Macaca mulatta: one gene and its partner. The protein of the gene in region 2 binds, or shares a complex with, the protein of the main gene of each other region. Links are inferred from orthologs where the notes say so. Each region holds a gene or a part of one and is shown on either strand. Other genes may lie near its edges.

Region 1 (10,254 bases), on a different chromosome or scaffold from region 2:
CTTAATACTTTGATACTATGAAAAACAGAAATAAGCACAATCATTGCCTTCACGTGGCTTCCGATCTAAAAAGTGAGTGTGTTATCAATAATCTCACAAGAACAAACGTAAAACTAAAATTGGGGGCAAGTATTGTTAAAAAGTTCATAGGGGCCAGGCACGGTGGCTCACGCCTGTAATCCCAACACTTTGGGAGGCTGAGGCGGGCAGATCACGAGGTCAGGAGATCGAGACCATCTTGGCTAACACGGTGAAACCCCGTCTCTACTAAAAAATACAAAAAAAAAAAAAAAAATTAGCCGGCGTGGTGGTGGGCACCTGTAGTCCCAGCTACTCAGGAGGCTGAGGCAGGAGAATGGCATGAACCCGGGAGGCGGAGCTTGCAGTGAGCTGAGATCGTGCCACTGCACTCCAGCCTGGGCAACAAAGCAAGACTCTGTCTCAAAAAAAAAAAAAAAAAAAAAAAAAAAAGTTCATAGTGATATGAGAACCTAGAAAACAGGAGGTTGATGCAGACAGAGAGTGGACCAGGGAAGGCTTTCTGAGGCAGTAATATCTCAGCTGAGATGTTATGGTATTAAGTGAAAAGACGTGGAAAGACTGTTCCTGGCTGAAGAAACAGGGCAAAACGAATGAAGGCCATGCAGCAATGCTTTCAGCCATGCTTACAGAAGTAGTAAGCAGAATGGTCAAGCTATAGCTCTAAAGTTAGAAAGACCTGGGTTCCAGTCCAGGCTCTGCCACTGATTATTTATGCTGTCTTGGGCTAGTTATGAAACCTTTATAAGCCTCAGATTAACTATCTGAAAAATGGGAATAACTGTACTTACTTAGATATTGTGAAATTTAATACAACGCACATAAAGTGTTGGCTGGCACATAATTAGAAAATATCACTTATTAACTAATACCAATGGTGTCAATTGTGCACAGTGACAATGACATAATTTATCACTAAAGTTTAAGTACTAAATAATCAGTGAGAATCCCTGGGAAATTAGCAATTAAGAAATACATACAGTAGAGCACAAAAGTACTGTTAAAAAATATAAGGTGACACTCCTCAACTTTCAACATTTATGCAAAACCCTTTCATTGTAACATAAAACTTATAGTCCTGTAACTATCTTATGGAATCTATAAACTACAACTCAGAGATATGTTCAATATCCCTACTGCAACCCGGAATTATCTATTCTTTGCGTTAACTTTAAAGTGTTAACTTTAATATATTAACTAAGGAATAAGAAATAGTATATTAACCTTATGTTTAAATACTGACATTAAATTTTTAAAAACCCCATTGCAAAAACTTTTAAGTCAGAGAAGTGTTATTAAATGCGAGTGGAAAATGTTACAAACAAAATCATTTGTCTTCCTTACACAAAAAATAAGAATAAAATAACTTTATAAATGACTTTTATACTATTTTTATCCTATTATTGGCATGATTTCCTATTCATTCAATCCTAAACTTATTTATGGATTAAAATATATCTCTAAGATTAATACATAACATAGGCCAGGCACGGTGGCTCATGCCTGTAATCCTAGCACTTTGGGAGGCCAAGGTGGGCAGATCACCTGAGGTCAGGAGTTTGAGACCAGCCTGGAAAACATGATGAAACCCCATCTCAATTAAAAATACAAAAATTAGCCGGGTGTGGTAGTGCTTGTCTGTAATCCCAGCTACTTGGGAGACTGAGGCATGAGAATCATTTGAACCTGGGTTGCAGTGAGCCAAGATCGCGCCACTGCACTCCAGCCTGGGTGACAGAACGAGACTCTGTCTCAAAAAAAAAAAAAAAAACAAAAACCAAAACAGATAAATACATAAAATAAATATATTCTTCTAAGTTAAAAACTAGATTATATAAAACATATCCTACAGATATTTGTACATATGCCAATTATTTTGTGCAGTTACCAAAAGCAACATCATTTGAAACAGTAAAGCATTACAAACCCAACTGTCCATCAAGAAGGACAAGGTAAGATATGATATACACCTACAAAGGAATACTCTGCAGTCATGAGAAAGAGGAAGTTCTCTATGTACCAGGAAAGATTACTCTCAAAGTTACATTCTTAAGTGAAAAAATACAGTTTAGAACAGTGTATACAAGCAGCAATAAATTATGTACCAAAATGTGCAGGCATATGTGTATGCTGTGTGTATAAATATGTGTATATACATGTCTGCTCATAGGTACATAAAATATCTCTACAGATAATGGTGGGTGCCTCTGTGAGGGGAAACTGTGCATGTGGCTGGAGAGGAAGGATGGGCAGCTACTCACTCTATGTTCTTCAGTGAACTCCTGAATCTGAACTTTATGAATGTACTACCTACTCCCAAAATAACTTAAAAAACAGGTAAAGAGGACCACAAAAATGTTTAGAAAAATTAGTGCCACCACAGGTAGCTTCTTTTTTAAAATTTCCATGGAAATTACTTTAAATACAACTAATGCTCCAAAGAAAATAAAAGGACTTTCTTTCTGATGGACTTCACAGAGAAATGAATTCAAGAAAGTAGAAAAATTACTTACACTCTTAAGTATATAATTTTAGAAATCAGGTCCCAATATAAAAGCTGTTTTCAATTCTACATACAATGCACAAAGAGTAATATGAATAGATTTTACTAATAATTAAAAATAACTGGCTCATGAAGAGATATTACACTTTTAGAAGAAATGAATTAAATTTTGTGAAATATTCTGAAGAAATCTAAACCTTAAGCTTACTAAAACAACCATTTTTTTCTAAAAACAAATGTTGCAGTACTAATGAAAGTCATCAGATTTAGTTTTATAATTATGAAATATTTGATTATTTTAAAACATACAAAGTGGGATTATTAAAGCCTGAGACTGCTTTGGGTCACAATCAGATTTTAAATTGCAAACGCAAGAACGATATTTTGCAGAGAATTCAAAAAATGCACAAAAACACACATTAGTATCCATAGCTGGCAGACTTTGTTACTGAGAGGCACTGAGGTTCAACAGTTAAAAGCATGAATCCATGGCTCTGAAGCAGGATGCCTGCATCCAAACCCATACATCTAGCAACAAATCAAAGTGTATTCTACTATTCTTCATGAATGTTCAAAACATTATTATTTCTTCATTATTATTGTTCTGGGATGCAGTAAGCCTAATTTCAGTAAATGATATGAGTTGAACTGGCTTTTTTTCATTATTTAAAAAAAACCTGACAGTACTAATACCTTTCCTGCCATTATGAAAGACTTTCATAAAGCTTTTAACAAATATCCTTTAACTGAATTTATTTCTTGGATAAGCACGACAACCTGGTATTTCCCCTTTCGTTAAAAGATAAAAGACATCCGAATTCAAAGAAGGAGCAAGCATATACTTTCCAACTATTTCTGATCAACATTAGAACTACTCAGTAATATAATAAATACTTCTGGTATTATTCTCTAATTCCTTTATACAGACAGCTTCACCATACCCAGTGTCACACACTATTATGACTTTCAGAGTACACTTAATAGTTAAAATGAGATCACCATTGTCTGAAACATTTCTGATACTTATAATCACAGATGATGTAATTAGAATCAATTATTGCTTTATTAGATCTCCAGATGAATAATGGGTATCTTTCTGGTGGGTTTATAACTTAAGAACATTGAATGTAATTTTGCTGTTTCTTCAATAAGAGATGCTAACACTCAAAAGAGGATTGTAAATCACTAAGACTTCTAAGTGAATTAACTGCACTATTAACTATTTCGTCATATCGCCAGTGTAGTGGGGTATCTCTGCATTCCAATTTGAGCACCCTTTATGCTAAGGTAACTACAGAAAAATACAGAAAGTCCTCATTTTGCACAGTCCCAATATGCACATTTTAGTTTGCATGGCATAATACCTGAATAACTGCATAAAGTAGTATAAACTTTTCTAATTCTTTAGTCTACAAATCATAACATAAATAATTACGCAACTAAGAGATGCACACTGTCATCAGTAACCAGCCACATCATTTCTTTCAAAGTATGTTGATGGTTGGTCACTGTGCATCTGTTATGCAGTTCGTGCAGAGATAGCAAAGCATGTAGTTTTGTACCTCCTTGTCTCCCAATGATAAAGTATGTGACATTTAGAAAAAGAGATAATAAAAAGAGGAAACTGGCCGACAAAGATGAAATACAGCAAAGAAATGAAAAGTAATAATGCTGGAAGTGAATTTCAAATAAAGAGTTATAGAAGAAACAGGTGACCAAGGGAATGCTGACACTATCCCTCTAGATACACAGAGAACTCAGTGAAGGCAAACTTATTGACATAAATGAGGAAAGCGGTTGTGACGAAAATTTTCCAGAGGACATGATGCTGGCAAAAAATATTCATATTAAAGGAAATCTCAGAGATACTTCAAAACATTGAAAATACACAGACAAAATACTTCATAAAATTAACATATGGCATATAGAATTTATTCAGTAACAAATTAAAAATTTCTTACCTTGGTAACTTTTTATACAAGAATCGCTTTAGGTCCTGAAAGAGAATATTAAAAAATCATGTTATAATAATAGGCCTTCCACTGTTTTCTAGATCCTGTCCTATCCAAATTTTAGGGACGTTCAGTTATCATTCATAACCTTTCTTGCTGTGTTTTATCTTTCTCTGTCTGATTTGGATGTTTACTAGTCATGCAACTTGGAGTAAGTTAACTAACCTTTTTTCCCTAAGCCTATTTCATTATTTGTTGAATAGGGCTAATATAGAACCTACATCATAAGAGTGCTGTTAAAGTTTTTTGAGAAGTTGCATGGATTAGCATACCTAGAAATGGGAAACACAAATACATTTTAGCCATAAAAATATATCATAATATTCATACTAGTGTTTTATATCCTGTTGCTATTGTGTTCACTTGAGAAGACATTATAAACACCTTTCCAGGTTCAAAGATAGACTTTCCACCATCATTTTAATGGTCTTGGGTAAGGTGATATGACTTCTGTAAGACTGCTGTCTCACATTATAAAAATATGCCTTCCATTGTTTCATTATTTGTTGAACTCACCTACTCAACAAATAATGAAACAGTGTAAGGCATATTATTATAACATAATTATTAAAATATTCTGTTTAAGGACCTAAAATAAATTATATATGACTATGTGAGGCAACAGTCTTTTTTTTTGTTTTTGAGAGGGAGTTTTGCTCTTGCTGTCCAGGCTGGAGTGCAATGGCGCAATCTCGGCTCACTGCAACCTCTGCTTCCCAGGTTCAAGCGATTCTCCTGCCTCAACCTCCGAGTAACTGGCATTATAAGCACCCACCACCACGTCCCAGCTTATTTTTTTGTATTTTTAGTAGAGATATGGTTTCACCATGTAGGCCAGGCTGGTCTCGAACTCCTGACCTCAGGTGATCCACCCGCCTTGGCTTCCCACAGTGCTGGGATTACAGACGTGAGCCACCACGCCCAGCCCAGACTTACAGAATATAAGATAAATGGCGAAGTGTGTCAAGTGTTTAACACTAAACACAGTTAAGACTAAAGAAATATAAGACTATTTTATTTTTCTAAGCTGGGGCTCACTGCAACTTCCAAGTTCTGGGCTCAAGCAATCCTTCCGCCTCACTTCCAGCATAGCTGGGACTACAGGGTTATCAATGCGCCTGGTTTTTAAATTTCTTTTTGTATAACGGGGTCTTGCTACGTTGCCCAGGCTGATCTTGAACTCCCAGCCTCAAGTGATCCTTCCATCTCGGCATCCCAAAATGCTGAGATTACAGACGAAGCCACCTCACCGGCCAGAAGATTATCTTATTTTGTCTCATTACACTCTCTCATCCCAGGAATTTCACTGACACTTGAGGTATCAATTTTGACCTCGCATGGATTAATCAGGTATCTGTTGTTTTGAGCCTCCAACACTTACTATTCTCCAAACCCGAATGATCATTTTATTTCATGTTATGACTATTGGCTTATTTTTGCTCTCATCCTACACACACACACACACCCCTCATTTTATTTCATGTTATGTTTCTAAAGAGGCATGGGTTAGAAATCATCGTAAATTGCCACAATAAACCTAATAAGATATTGTTACCACTTACTGGAAAAAAGTATTCTGGGTACATGTCCTACTGACCAAATTCTGACAGGAAAAGCAGCGAACCATCATTCAGAATTTCAAATGGTAAATACACAGAGCCTCTCTTATACCCCAGCTGGATTGGTGAGGAGGGAGAATATAATTTTCTCAGTCTCAAGCACCTTAGTGTCCTCCACCCCCATTCGAGGCAGAAACTCAGGATCCTGCAAATTCATTCATATTAGTCTCCCATTTCACATACAAGAGAAAATAATTAACTGGGATGGGTGGGGATGGGAGGATCTTCTACCTCTCCCCGCTCAGTATTCCCCTCCAAATTCCCCACTCTCCCTTCCTCTTATGTGGGGGTGTCACTCACATCCGCCATGATGAACCCCTTTCTCTCGCAGGATCAATCTCCACGCCTGGAAGAGAAACTCCCGGTGACTCTTACCTCTTTGGCTTCCTCGTCCTCCCCACCCCCAACTTAATAAGCAAGATCAGCCCTGGTCAGAACCCGGCAAAACCCCCGCGGTTCTAGGGCTTGGCCCAGCGAGCCCAGTGGGAGTCGGAGTGCCCCAACACCCCCACGGGTACTCAGCTGGCACGCCTTGCCTCAGCCCACCCCATCCCTGCCCCTCCACCCCAAAGAGCTAGGCCCAAACAAAAGAAGAGGGGGCCCTCTCCTTCTGTTTAGTCTCACCACCCGCGCCACCTCCGGGACTAGGCCTCAAACCAGGCAAAGTAGCGCCAGTTACCTGGGGTTTCTGGGTTGCCTGGTTCTCTCCGTTGTCACTTCAGGGACAGCTTTAAAGACAGGTTCCTCCTCAAGCCACCGTCACATGATTGATGACCTCTTCGGCGCTCCGGGAAGCACTTTCTACGCCGTCGCCCCACGATACTGGATTTCCGGAAGGGCCTGGCGGAAGCTTCGAGGGCGCGGCCGCCCGACGCGCCCCGCCCCTCCCCCGCCCACCGCGGGCCGCGTCTTGCGCCTGCGCCTTGTGTCACGGGCCGAGGGACGTCAGCTGTGGGGTAGAGGATTTGTACGAGATCGCTGGACCCTGAGGACCCCAGAAAATGCAAGCAAGGTTATGTGTTACAAGACATTCTTGTGCAGAGAGGGTGTATAAATGTCATTAGTTTTTCAGGGTCCGTTATCTTAAAACCTTTTCTTGTAGATGAAGTAATTTGAGGGGATGGTGTGATGAGCTGAAGAGCAAGCAACAGATTGCCTGTGATTGGAAGTATCAGGTCCACAGGTTTCTGACTTGTTTCCTAGGTTCTTGTGACTTCCCCATGGGTGCTCTTTACTCAAGGCCTTATCTAGATTGAATGGGGAGGAGCCATGGGTTTTCTGGAGCACTTCAAGCGTCTACTTTTAACATGCAGACACGGGATTACGGGTACTTTCTATGTTCCCTTTTACATCAGAATTTTTAAAAATTAGTAAGGTCTCATATAATAAATAATAATTGGAAAAAAAAAAAAAAAAAAAAAAAAAAGCCTTGCCGGGTGCGGTGACTGACGCCTGTAATCCCAGCACTTTGGGAGTCCGAGGCGGGACGATCCTTTGAGCCCAGGAGTTCCACACCAGCCTGGCAAGATAGAACCCCATCTCTACTACTACTACTACTACTAATAATAATAACAACAATAAAGAATTAGCCTTACGTGGCGTGCGCCAGGTACTCCGGAAGCTGAGGCATGAGGATCCCTTCAGCCCAGGGTTTGAGGCTGCATTGAGTGGTGATCGCCCCACTGAACTCCAGCTTGAGTGACAGAGCGAGATGCTCAAAAGAAAAGCTTCTTTAGAAATCACATCCTCTTTCAGCTACCACCCTGTTTTTCCTCTACTCCCTTTCATAGCCAAATTTTCAGAAAATTTTAGCCTGGTTTTTAATTGCTGCTTGCATGTCACAAATCTAATCAGAGTTCTGTTGATTCTACCTCCTATCTTTGAAAACTAGTCACCTATCTATGTTCGTACCCTAGTGCAAGCCATGATCATCTCTCTCTTGACAATAACCTCCTATTCTTCTTACATTCTCTTTTGCCCTCCAGTCTCCATAGAGCAACAAAAATGATGTTCTAAAAACCCAAATCGGATCATTTAACTCCTTTCTTGAAAATCAACTTTATTATAAAGTTCAATATCAGCATCATGGTTTATATATCGTTCTTATGGGGATCTGGCCCCTATATTGATTCTCTCACCTACCCTGGATTCCTTATGCTATGATCATACAAGTTTGTTTCCACTTCCATAAAGATTTTTATCACTTTACCAACTTAGCACATTCTGCCTGAGATATTTCTCTAGCATACCTTAATCCTACTAATCTCTTCTTTTGCCTTTCAGCTTAAACTCACTCTCAGAGAAGCCTTTCCTGACCCTCACTGAATAGTTTAGGCCTTCTAGATAAATGCTTTCATTGTGCCCTGTAATTTTCTTTGTAGAATTTATCATAATTATAATTATTTACTTGATATTTATTTTCTTTGCTAGATGGAAACTCTAAGGTTTTTGTCTTTCTTATTCAATGATTGATTCCCAGCACCCAGCTCACTGCCTGGGATATAGCAAGCATTGATACACTTGTTGCCTAGTTGAATGAATGAAAGAGTGGCCATATTAAGAGTATAAAACATGATAAAAACAAACATTTTACAGTGAGAACAGACCTTTTTATTAATATATTGAGATAAACTACAGAGACTGAAAGACAAAAATTCATATTTCATTCAGAACATTCATTAAAAATCAAATGCATTTACTTTGCGTTCTCACAGAAAATTTTATTTAAGTCTGATATAACATTAAATATTTTACAAATCAGACATTTCATTTTAAAATCTAATTTATAATCCTGAATGCATTATAGACAAAGTAAGCTCTCCTTTACTAGTTTCATTTAACTTATACAAGGCTTCCATTATAATTCCATCAAACCTTAAAAATTACCTGCAGCTTTTAAAAATACATAAAGTAAATGGAAAGAAAGTCTTATGCAGCAATCCAAAAACCAAAACCAGAAATTGGCAAGAAGCATTTCTTAATACAGATAAACTGCAAAATATCATTTATGTGTGTTTCTTTCTTCTCACTGGTTTAATCATCCTATTCAAAATAATTCTTTTTGAAACTAATAATTACAATACTCCAATGTCACTGAAAATCTCTGATTTTAATTGTGTACTTAAATGGCAAAGTAGAATATCAGATTGAAATGTACAGTCTTGTGCTGAAGTGAATGAGGCTTGCCATGCCAGGTGTCATCTGCTATGCAGTTACAAGACATCTTGGCAACTAGTCATCCCAGTTTTTACTAACTTACTAAACAAGGACATTTCAAGAAATACTTCTTAACCCTATATATTTCCAGATGGCTGGATATAGAAAGATATAATTATGTTTGAAGCATGGACCTTATAATAGGAATCTCTGCATTAAAATATGAAAAAGAGCAACAGAAAGAAGTCACACCAATGAAATTGTGTTGACTGATTTTCAAAGTTAGAAATAAAAATATCCACTGCTAATGGAAGCCCTGCACTGTGCAAACATAGTGTGGTATATATTAAACAATCACACATTTGAGGTATTAGCTGGAAAAAAATATATATATACACCTGTACATAGACACATCCACAGAATATTCACAAATCTATTGGCCCCAACACCAGCAGATAGTCATATTAAATAAAAAAAATCACATACCAACAGGAAAAAGTTACACATAGGGAATTTACAAAAAATGTGGTACTATAATCCTTAATATAAGGAGTATGTTTTGAATTAATGTTTTGAGGAAAAGTGTTTCCATTTATATGAAAGTTATCTATTTAATAGTAATAAAACCAAAAAGGAAGCTGAATTCTAGGACTGTTTTGCCTGCCAAATTATTGAAGGGATGAACAAGAATTCCTTGAAAAGCCTCATTCTATCCTTTTTCTTTGTAACTAGAAATTAGAATTTAAAATGTTGGAAATTATTGCCAGATTACTTTCTTTTCATTGGTTTATAGGGTATTTTATGGATTTTAACTAGGCAATAGTCCAATGTGGTCAACAGACATGGTTTTTCAGCTGTTGAATGAAAATTAAAATAGGTATTGTTGATTTTCATTAGTTTTTCTGTTCAGATAAGAAAAAAGATT
Region 2 (10,160 bases):
ATGCTGGATTACAGGTGTGAGCCACTGCACCCGGCCTCCATCTTTTATCTATCTACAGCTTCTGCCTGCAGAGTGGCCTAGAAACTATGTTATCCCATAAAAATGGGCACTCACAATCCCCAGATATGCATTTCCAATTCCTCACAAATCCTCAGAGAATCAACAAATTCCAAGTTTGGGGCATAAATAGGTACAAAGTGAGCCTGAGAAGCTTTTTTTTTTTTTTTTTGAGACAGAGTCTCGCTCTGTTGCCCAGGCTGGAGTGCAGTGGCACGATCTCGGCTCACTAAAACCTCCGCCTCCCAGGTTCAGGCAATTCTGTGCCATAGCCTCCCAAGTAGCTGGGATTACAGGTGCCCACAACCACACCCGGCTAATTTTTTGTATTTTTAGTAGAGATGGGGGTTTCTCCATCTTGCCAGGCTGGTCTTGAACTCCTGGCCTCGTGATCCACCTGCCTCGGCCTCCAAAAGTGCTAGAATTACAGGAGTGAACCACCATGCCCAGCCAAGTCTGAGAAGCTTTCTAATGCCAGAGTTACGTCAAAAAGGACACAAGCCAACTCAGCAAAAATTGTGAACATTTGAATATTAGAGAAAACAATGATTGTACTGATTGAGCTACATCAAATCAATAAAAATCTATGTGTCCATAATGGCATTCAAAAAGGTAAAGCCATTTGTCACACTGGACATGGCAGCTCACACCTATAATCCCAACACTTTGGGAGGCCGAGGCAGGCGGATCACTTGAGCCCAGGAGTTCGAGACCAACCTGGGCAACATGGAGAGAACCTGTTTCTACAAGAAATAAAAAAATTAGCCAGGTGGGGTGGTGCACGTCTGTAGTCCCAGCTTCTCAGGAGGCTAAGGTGAGAGGATTGCTCCAGCCCGGGAGTTCAAGGCTGCAGTGAGCCATGATCACACCACTGGACTCAAGCCTGTGCAACGGAGCAAGATCCTTTCTTTAAAAAAAAAAAAAAAAAAAAAAAAAAGGGCTGGGTGCAGTGGCTCACGCCTGTAATCCCAGCACTTTGGGAGGCCGAGGCGGGCGGATCATGAGGTCAGGAGATCAAGATCATCCTGGCTAACACGATGAAACCCCATCTCTACTAAAAATACAAAAAAAATAGCCGGGATGGCGACATGCCCCTGTAATCCCAGCTACTTGGGAGGCTGAGGCAGGAGAATTGCTTGAACCCGAGAGGCGGAGGTTGCAGTGAGCTGAGAGTGCACCACTGCACTACAGCCTGAGCAACATAGCGAGACTCCATCTCAAAAAAAAAAAAAAAAAAGTTGAACTGATACTTCACAAAATATGATATCCCAAAAGACAAACCTGTCTGAAAATGTGATCAACCTCATTAATATTTAGGTAAATGCAAATAAAAACCACAATGAGAAGCCATCACATATCTAAAAGTGTGGCAATACTGGCTAGGTGTGGTGGCTCATACCTGTAATCCCAACACTTTGGGTGGCTGACGTGGGCAAATCACGAGGTCAAGAGATCGAGACTATCCTAGCCAACATGGTGAAACCTGTCTCTACTAAAAATATAAAAATTAGCTGGGTGTGGTGGTGCGCTCCTGTAGTCCCAGCTACTCAGGAGGCTGAGGCAGAAGAATTGCTTGAACCCGGGAGGCGGAGGTTGCAGTGAGCCGAGATTGCGCCACTGCACTCCAGTCTGGGCAACAGAACGAGACTCTGTCTCAAAAAAAAAAAAAAAAAAAAAAAGTGTCGTAATACCAAGTGTTAATGGAGCTGGAGATAACCGGGAACTCTGACACATTGCTAGAGGAGTGTGAGCTGGTCTAACCAGTTTGATTTGCAGATCATAGATAAAAAAGATAGGGAACTCTGATTCATTTTTTTCTGGCAACCTGCTCTATCTACCAAAAGCAGATAAATAATATACCAAAAAGAAACTATAGTCCAATCTCATTTATCATAATGGATTTTTAAAATTCTAAGTAAAGCAGTACAACAAATGGGTAGTATAATTTGTTCCAGTAGATTTTATTCCAGAAACACAAAGATAGTTAAATATCACTTGATCTTAGCCAGAAGGTCGAGAAGCGATAAAGATGGTTAAATATCAAGAATACTGCCACTGGCTGGGCACAGTGGCTCACGCCTGTAATCCCAGCACTTTGGGAGGCCGAGGCGGGTGGATCACCTGAGGTCGGGAGTTCGAGACCAGCCTGACCAACATGGGAAACCCCGTCTCTACTAAAAATAGAAAATTAGCTGGGCCTGGTGGCACATGCCTATAATCCCAGCTACTAGGGAGGCTGAGGCAGGAGAATTGCTTGAACCTGGGAGGCGGAGGTTGCGGTGAGCCGAGATCGTGCCATTGCACTCCAGCCTGGGCAACAAGAGTGAAACTCCGCCTCAAAAAACAAAACAAACAAACAAACAAAAGAATACTGCCACCATAATTTATTACATCAAAATCTTCTTTTTTTTTTGAGACGGAGTTTCATTCTTGTTGCCCAGGTCAGAGTGCAATGGCACAATCTTGGCTCATTGCAACCTCCGCCTCCTGGGTTCAAGGATTCTCCTGCCTCAGCCTCCCCAGTAGCTGGGATTACAGTCATGTACCACTGCACCTGCCTAATTTTTTTTTTTTTTTGTATTTTTTGTAGTGATGAGGTTTCACCATGTTGGCCAGGCAGGTCTTGAACTCCTGACCTCAGGTGATCCACCCGCCTTGGTCTCCCAAACAGCTGGGATTACAGGTGTGAGCTACCATGCCCAGCCTTGATTGTTGTTTCTAACAAGTCTTAAAAGACACCCAGACTTCAACAATTGTTACTATATTCAGATTTTTTTGGTTTGTTTTTGAGACAATCTTGCTCTTTTACCCAGTCTGGAGTGCAGTAGCATGATCATGGCTCACTGCAGCTTCAAACTCCTGGGCTCAAGCAATTCTCCCACCTCAGCCTCCCCGGTAGCTGGGACTACATGTGCGGTATCATGCCTGGTTAATTTTTAAATTTTTAGAGATGGGGTCTTGCTATGTTGCCCAGGCTTCTAGAATCACTCTTCATATTACTCACTAACACTGCCTCCACCACATTAATACGGCAACAGGTCTAGAAATTATTTAAAACAAAAATTTCCAATGTTTACATTGTGTGATGTATGTATGTATGTATGTATGTGTGTGTGTGTGTGTGTGTGTATCATTCCAAGGTACTGTTTCTAATTTTTTCCTGCAGAGAATATTCAGTATTGTATCTGCATTGGCTAGCTGGTGATTCTATTCACCATCACATTGTCCCAGACTGAATCTGAAGACAAAAAACCACTTTGGGAACAAAATCTTTTTTTTTTTTTTTTTGAGATGTAGTCTCGCTGTCTCCCAGGCTGGAGTGCAGTGGCGTCATCTCGACTCACTGCAAGCTCCACCTCCCAGGTTCGCGCCATTCTCCTGCCTCAGCCTCCCGAATAGCTGGAACTACAGGCGCCCGCCACCACGCCTAGCTAATTTTTTTGTATTTTTTAGTAGGGACAGGGTTTCACTGTGTTAGCCAGGATGGTTTCCATCTTCTGACCTCGTGATCCGCCCGCCTCGGCCTCCCAAAGTTCTGGGATTACAGTTGTGAGCCACCGCGCCCGGCCAAGGGAACAAATTCTTGTCTTCAACAAAGAGCGGTCTTGAGTAGGCATAAAAGTAGCATTTGAAGGTTGGGCGCCCAGCCTTGAATAGCTTTTTACATGCATTGCACGTTATTTCCTTTTATTATCACGTTTTTTGGGTCCAGTCTTAAACCTGGGAAGGCATTCGTTTGGGAGGTCACACTAGCGGGCATCCTGGTTCAGGCGGAACCCAGACTCTAGAAAGCGCGCGCGGAGCCACACGGTCAACCCTGTCCCACTCCTGGCCCTCCCACACCGTCCCCTCCGCGGAAGCACTCCCGCCTCCTCTCGCTCAGGCACTGACTGAGAGGCGGGGAGATGGGTGTTAAAGAGGGGATATCACCAATCAACGTGCGCCTCCGGGAAGGAGCGCTTCGCACTGGCTGGTTGGGTCTGACGACGTGGCCACGATCCAATCCTCATGCTAGAGGCGCGGCTAAAGGGTAGGGAAGCAAGCAGAAGGAGGAGCGCTCCGGGTGCGAGCACGTGACCGGGGCCTGAAGCCGGAAGCTACCTATCTGGTAGGGAGCTCCACCAGCACCGAAGACTGCGATGGTGAGTGAGGACGCATGCGCGGGAGGACCCGCCGGGGGTTCCGCGTCTCTGCTCCCCAATCTGTGTGGTTTCCCCCTCGTGGGTCTGCGCTCCACCCTCACCTCCTATCCGCTCGGGGAGGAAGACGGGATGGAGATGGGAGGGATGGCGATGGGAATGCTGGGGAGGGGTCTGTGGGAGGGTGTTCTGGGGCTGCGGGTAGTCTGCAGGTCAGGGGCGGGGAGGTGGAGAGAGGGTCTGGGGGCAGGGGCCAGTGGGGCAGCGAAGTCCCCTCGGAGTAGCATAGGTGGAGCGTGGAAGGCCAGGGGAGCCCGGGGGCCGAGAGTGGGGGCAGATGGAGGCTCGGGAAGATCAGTATTGAGGACCATGTAGGGGGAAGGGAGCCGGGAAAGGACCTGGCTGGGGAATGAGAAAACCTGGGGCCATCGCCAATCAAGAGACTTGGGTTTGTAGGTGAAGGGTATCAGGGGCCATCCATCCCTCTAGCATGCTTCTCACTACTTGCATCTTTACCCACTAGACTTCTGCACTGACCCAGGGGCTGGAGCGAATCCCAGACCAGCTCGGCTACCTGGTACTGAGTGAAGGTGCAGTGCTGGCGGTGCGTTCTGGGAAAGGGAGGGGGTCCCTTAGTGCACACAGCCCGGTAACCCCTTCTAATATTGGCCCTTCTTTTCTCGACTTTTACCTGGTTTGCGGTCTGGCATCTATTAGGTTGGTACAAAAGTATTTGCAGTTTTTGCAATTACTTTCAGTAATCAGTCTGTGGAATCTTAGTCTCCTAACGGTTGCGGTTTATTTATTTACTTATTTATTTACACTTTTTGAAACTGAGTTTCATTCTTGTTGCCCAAGCTGGAGTGCAGTGGTGCGATCTCGGCTCACTGCAACCTCCGCCTCCGGGGTTCAAGCGATTGTCCTGCCTCAGCCTCCAGAGTAGCTGGGATTACAGGCATGTGCCACCACGCTCGGCTATTTTTTTGTATTTTTAGTAGAAACGGGGTTTCACCGTGTTAGCCAGGCTGGTCTCAAACTCCTGACCTCAGGTGATCCATCTGCCTCAGCCTCCCAAAGTGCTGGGATTACAGGCGTGAGCCAACATCCCTGGCCTTTATTTGATATTTCTTAAAGAGTCATTTGTATTTTGTTCCATAGTACTGTATAGTGTTAGGTCTCTAGATGTTTTTGATTTAGCTAGAGACAAAGCTTAAGGTTAAGTGTTGAAAACAATACAGGTGGTAAAAGACTATTGAAGGAATCCAGGATATTAAAAATTCAACATGTTATGACAAGGTAACTAACTTCCCTGGAGGTAGGAATTCAGCCCAGCTTAAAGGAGAGTATTTACAGTGGGGAGGTGGACATATTTGCAGGTGTGTGGCACTGACCTTTCTAAACTGATGGTAAGTCTGTGCTGAAAAGATTTGGGAAGATTTGAGGGAAGAGGAAGATATGGTCAGGGAGGATCTGATTGTGAAGGATCTTCAAGGCCAGGTTAACACACTTGAACTTATTCTTCTTGGAGGTAATACAGCTTGAAAGGTTTTTTAAACAGAAACAAGACCCAGTGAGGTGGTTGAGCAATATTGTTGTTAGTGATGTGAAGATGGGCAGAAGGAGGCATCATTAAGAGATTAGACTGGGCCAGGCATAGGTGGCTCACGTCTTTAGTAATCCCAGCATTTTGGGAGGCCAAGGCGAGTGGATCACGAGGTCAGGAGATCTAGACCATCCTGGCCAACACGGTGAAACCCTGTCTCTGTTAAAAATACAAAAACAAAATTGGCCAGGCGTGGTGGTGGGCGCCAGCTACTCGGGAGGCTGAGGCGGGAGAATGGCGTGAACCAGAAAGGCGGAGGTTGCAGTTAGCCAAGATTGCACCACTGCACTCCAGCCTGGGTGACAGAGCAAGACTCCGTCTCAAAAAAAAAAAAAAAAAAAAAGAGATGAGACTGGGCAAGTGGCAGTAAGAAGGAGCAAGGAGAGAAGAGTTTTGTTTTTGTTTTTGTTGTTTTTTGAGACAGAGTCTCGCTCTGTGGCCCAGGCTGGAGTGCAGTGGCATGATCTCAGCTCAGGGCAACTTCCGCCTCCCAGGTTCAAGCGATTCTCCCGCCTAAGCCTCCTGAGTAGCTAGGATTACAGGCGTGTGCCACCACACCCGGCTAATTTTTGTATTTTTAGTAGAGATGGGATTTTGCCATGTTGGCCAGGCTGGTCTCGAACTCCTGACCTTGTGATCTGCCCACCTCAGCCTCCCAAAGTGCTGGGATTACAGGCATGAGCCACCGCGCCCGGCCCTTTTTTTTTTTTTTTTTTTTTAGGACAGAGTCTTGCTGTCACTCAGGCTGAAGTGCAGTAGTGTGATCACATCTCATTGCAGTCTTGAACTCCTGGGCCCAAGCGATCCTCCCACCTCAGCATCCCAAGTAACTAGAACTATAGGCAAGCACCACCACGCCCAGCCATTAAAAAAAAAAAATTTATAGGGACAGGGGTCTTGCTATGTTGCCCAGGTTGGTCTCGAAGTCCTGGCCTCCATCAGTCCTCCTGCCTTGGCCTCCCAAAGTGCTGGGATTATAGGTATGAGCTACTGTGCTTGGCTGGGAGAAGATATTTTAAAGAAGGAATCAGTATATCTTGCTAATGACTAGAAATAGGTAATAAAAGAAATACTTCTCTAGCTAGAACTTTAAAGCCTGGAAGAGTGATGATGCCTTAAGAAACATGTTCCTTAAGGCCGGGCGCGGTGGCTCAAGCCTGTAATCCCAGCACTTTGGGAGGCCGAGACGGGCGGATCACGAAGTCAGGGGATCGAGACCATCCTGGCTAACCCGGTGAAACCCCGTCTCTACTAAAAATACAAAAAACTAGCCGGGCGAGGTGGTGGGCGCCTGTAGTCCCAACTACTCGGGAGGCTGAGGCAGGAGAATGGCGTGAACCCGGGAGGCGGAGCTTGCAGTGAGCTGAGATCCGGCCACTGCACTCCAGCCTGGGCGGCAGAGCGAGACTCCGTCTCAAAAAAAAAAAAAAAAAAAAAAAAAGAAACATGTTCCTGTGTGGTGGCTCACACCTATAATCCCAGCACTTTCGGAGGCTGCTGAGGTGGGTGGATCACTTGAGGTCAGGAGTTTGAGACCAGCCTAGCCAGCATGGTGAAACCCCATCTTTACTGAAAATACAAAAAACTAGCCTGGCATGGAGGCACATGCCTGTAATCCCAGCTACTTGGGAGGTTGATGCAGGAGAATTGCTTGAACCCAGGAGGCAGAGGTTGCAGCGAGCCAAGAGTGCACCACTGCACTCCAGCCTGGGCGATAGAGTGAGACTCCGTCTCAAAACACAAACAAACAAATCAAAAAAGGAAGTAGACTGGAAAGGAGGTGGATAAGGATAAGGTGAAATTTGATGGCCCAACTTTAGACATTGAGTTTGATGTAAAATAGCAGTTAATATATATTGCTAGCTCAGCAAAAGGAACTAAATCTAGTGGAGGCCCATATCAAGGAAGAGGGAAGAGGAAGTTGAGACAGTCACCAGAAAAGAGGAACCCTAAGCCACTGTCCCATCACTTACTCTAGGGGTCAACAGAGGGAGGGATTCAAGGACAAACGGAATGTTTATGTTGGAGATTGTGCAAACAGGGCAGCAAGTGTGAAGATTGAGAAAAAGATGGAGCCATTAACAGGTCAGTGGTGGGCAGGCATTCATTTCGGAGAATGTGGTTTTATCAAATAGGCAGGGACATGGGAGAAATCCAGTTTCACGGGGTTAGAAAAGCATGGGTCAATAAAGACATGGATGGCCAAGCACGGTGGCTTACGTCTGTAATCCCAGCATTTTGGAAGGCTGAGGCGGGCAGATCATTTGAGGTCAAGAGTTTGAGACCAGCTGATTAATATGGTAAAACCTCGTCTCTACTAAAAATATAAAAAATTAGCCAGGTGTGGTGATGCTGGTATATACCTGTAATCTCAGCTACTTGGGAGGCTAAGGCAGGAGAATCACTTGAACGCGAGAGGCCAAGATTGCACCACTGCACTCCAGCGTGGGTGACAGAACGAGATTCCGTCTCAAAAAAAAAAAAAGAAAAAAAAAAAAAGAGAGATGGATAAGCTGCTGCTCATCCGGGAAAGTCCAGTATTACGGGAAACAGGATGGCATCTGGAGGGTGACAACATAGGGGGAGATTTCAGGTTTTTTCCAAAGCTGGGTGACCCAAGGGTACTGGCAAGCCAAGGGGGAGATGGTCTAAGTGTGAGAGCCAAGGGGACTGTGCCTGGAATTCCGTCCCGAGCCTGTGCCGTAATGCTCGCCCCCTCCCTCCTCCGTCTGCATGCAGTCATCTGGGGACCTGGAGAATGACGAGCAAGCAGCCAGTGCCATCTCTGAGCTGGTCAGCACGGCCTGCGGTTTCCGGCTGCACCACGGCATGAATGTGCCCTTCAAGCGCCTGTCTGGTGAGCCCCTGTCCCTGCCCTTGGTGGTAGTACTGGGAGGAAGGGCCGCTTCCAGAGGCTTCTCTTCTTCCTCCCAGCCTCCCACCATCTCCTCCTGGGGTCTCTGGTCTGGCCACTTTCCTCCCTTTGGGACTCCCCTGTATTAGAATTGTGAATGAGAAGGCAAGAGAAAGGAGATGTAGCAGAGGCCACTCATCTTCAAATCTCTGAGCCTGGAACGATAGAATTTCTTTGGCTTTGATCCCAGCCAATGTGCGTGTGGCCCCGCCCCATGGAGTCTGTTGCACCCACTAACTCTGTGCTCCCTTCCCTCTCCTGGGGCGGGGGAAGGTGTGTCTCTCCTCCAGTGGTCTTTGGAGAACACACGCTGCTGGTGACGGTGTCAGGACAGAGGGTGTTTGTGGTGAAGCGGCAGAACCGAGGTCGGGAGCCCATTGATGTCTGAGCCTGCCGGAGGGCGAGGGTCGGAGAAGCGGATTGGGTCCTGGGCCTCTGTGATGAGGCAGGCACAGCCGTCAGTCTTGGCTTGCTGCTAGAACTAGGGCCTTCTGCTCGCCCACCTCCTACCCCTACCTGGATGGGCCAAAGCTTGGAGACTGTGAGCTGTGTTAAGGAGAACAAGGGCAAGGAGACCTCCCTTTGTGCTCCCTCTCTCCCTCCCTAATAAACATGAGCCTGATGTTCTCTAGCCCAGGGACATGTGTGTTTAGTGTGGGAATGATTACACCCCATGTCTGTCTTCCACCTTCTGGGGAGAAAGTCATGCACTTTAGCCCAAGTTGGGTGTGGCAGGGGTGCCTCTGTGTGCTATAAAACTGGGAAATAGAAAAAGCTGGAGGGGAAGGGAGTCACTCTGAGCCCTGGCGACTTCTGCTCTTCCCATCAGTACACAAACTAGTCATCCTTCTCCCTCCTGAACAGGCATTTAATAGTCTTATTTCAGTTGGAAGCAATAGTTGGAGAATAAGTTACAGGAACAGACCAAAAAAAAAAAAAAAAACCACAACAACTTAAAGTGCTTCAGGCTGCAAAAGTAAACATGAGGGGCAGGAGGCCACCTGCCTGGCCCTGTCCCCAACCCCTGAGACAGGACGGTCACTGTCAGGGGCCCTTAGCCATCACCACCCTCTAATCTCAGCCCTGCAGGAGGGAGGGAGGGAATGTCAGAGGTGGGAAAGAACTCAAAGGGAATGAGGAAGATACTTTGTAAACTTAGAACCAGGGTAAAGGGCGGGGGGCAAGGGAGCTCTGGAAACCCTTGCCCTGGCCTAGGGGTGGGGCCAGCCCCCCCCCACAGGAACTCGGGGAATACTGGTGGCTTAGTCCCAGCCATGCCCGCCCACTTCACAGCTTTTCCCCCGTCCCTGATCAGCAGACACAGACAGGCAGCTCTGCCAGGCCTCTTCACCCCCGTCTGGGAGGCATCCCAGGGGAGGCACAGCCCGGGAGCAGGGATCCCCTCTGGGGGCATTGGGTCTCTGGAGTGTAAGAGGGAACAGAGCTG

Evidence for each region. Proteins that work in one complex are often made in the same cells at the same time.
Region 1: LAMTOR4 (region 2) and LAMTOR3 share a complex: the UniProt entries of both Homo sapiens proteins name them as parts of the ragulator complex. The link is inferred for Macaca mulatta from reciprocal best matches to the Homo sapiens genes LAMTOR4 and LAMTOR3.

Annotation. Positions count from the first base shown.
Region 1 is NC_133410.1:109,206,351-109,216,604, forward strand, and holds the start of LAMTOR3 (ragulator complex protein LAMTOR3), read right to left. Parts: upstream 6,937-10,254; 5' UTR 6,853-6,936; intron 6,520-6,852; 5' UTR 6,483-6,519; coding exon 6,474-6,482; intron 4,539-6,473; coding exon 4,504-4,538; intron 1-4,503. Other genes in the region: uncharacterized protein LOC144340815, read left to right, coding at 6,937-7,185. UniProt on the Homo sapiens protein: As part of the Ragulator complex it is involved in amino acid sensing and activation of mTORC1, a signaling complex promoting cell growth in response to growth factors, energy levels, and amino acids.
Region 2 is NC_133408.1:47,464,203-47,474,362, forward strand, and holds LAMTOR4 (ragulator complex protein LAMTOR4), read left to right. Parts: upstream 1-4,128; 5' UTR 4,129-4,196; coding exon 4,197-4,277; intron 4,278-4,718; exon of another isoform or gene 4,719-4,719; coding exon 4,720-4,800; exon of another isoform or gene 4,801-5,054; intron 5,055-7,500; exon of another isoform or gene 7,501-8,302; intron 8,303-8,538; coding exon 8,539-8,656; intron 8,657-8,986; coding exon of another isoform or gene 8,987-9,003; coding exon 9,004-9,101; 3' UTR 9,102-9,344; downstream 9,345-10,160. UniProt on the Homo sapiens protein: As part of the Ragulator complex it is involved in amino acid sensing and activation of mTORC1, a signaling complex promoting cell growth in response to growth factors, energy levels, and amino acids.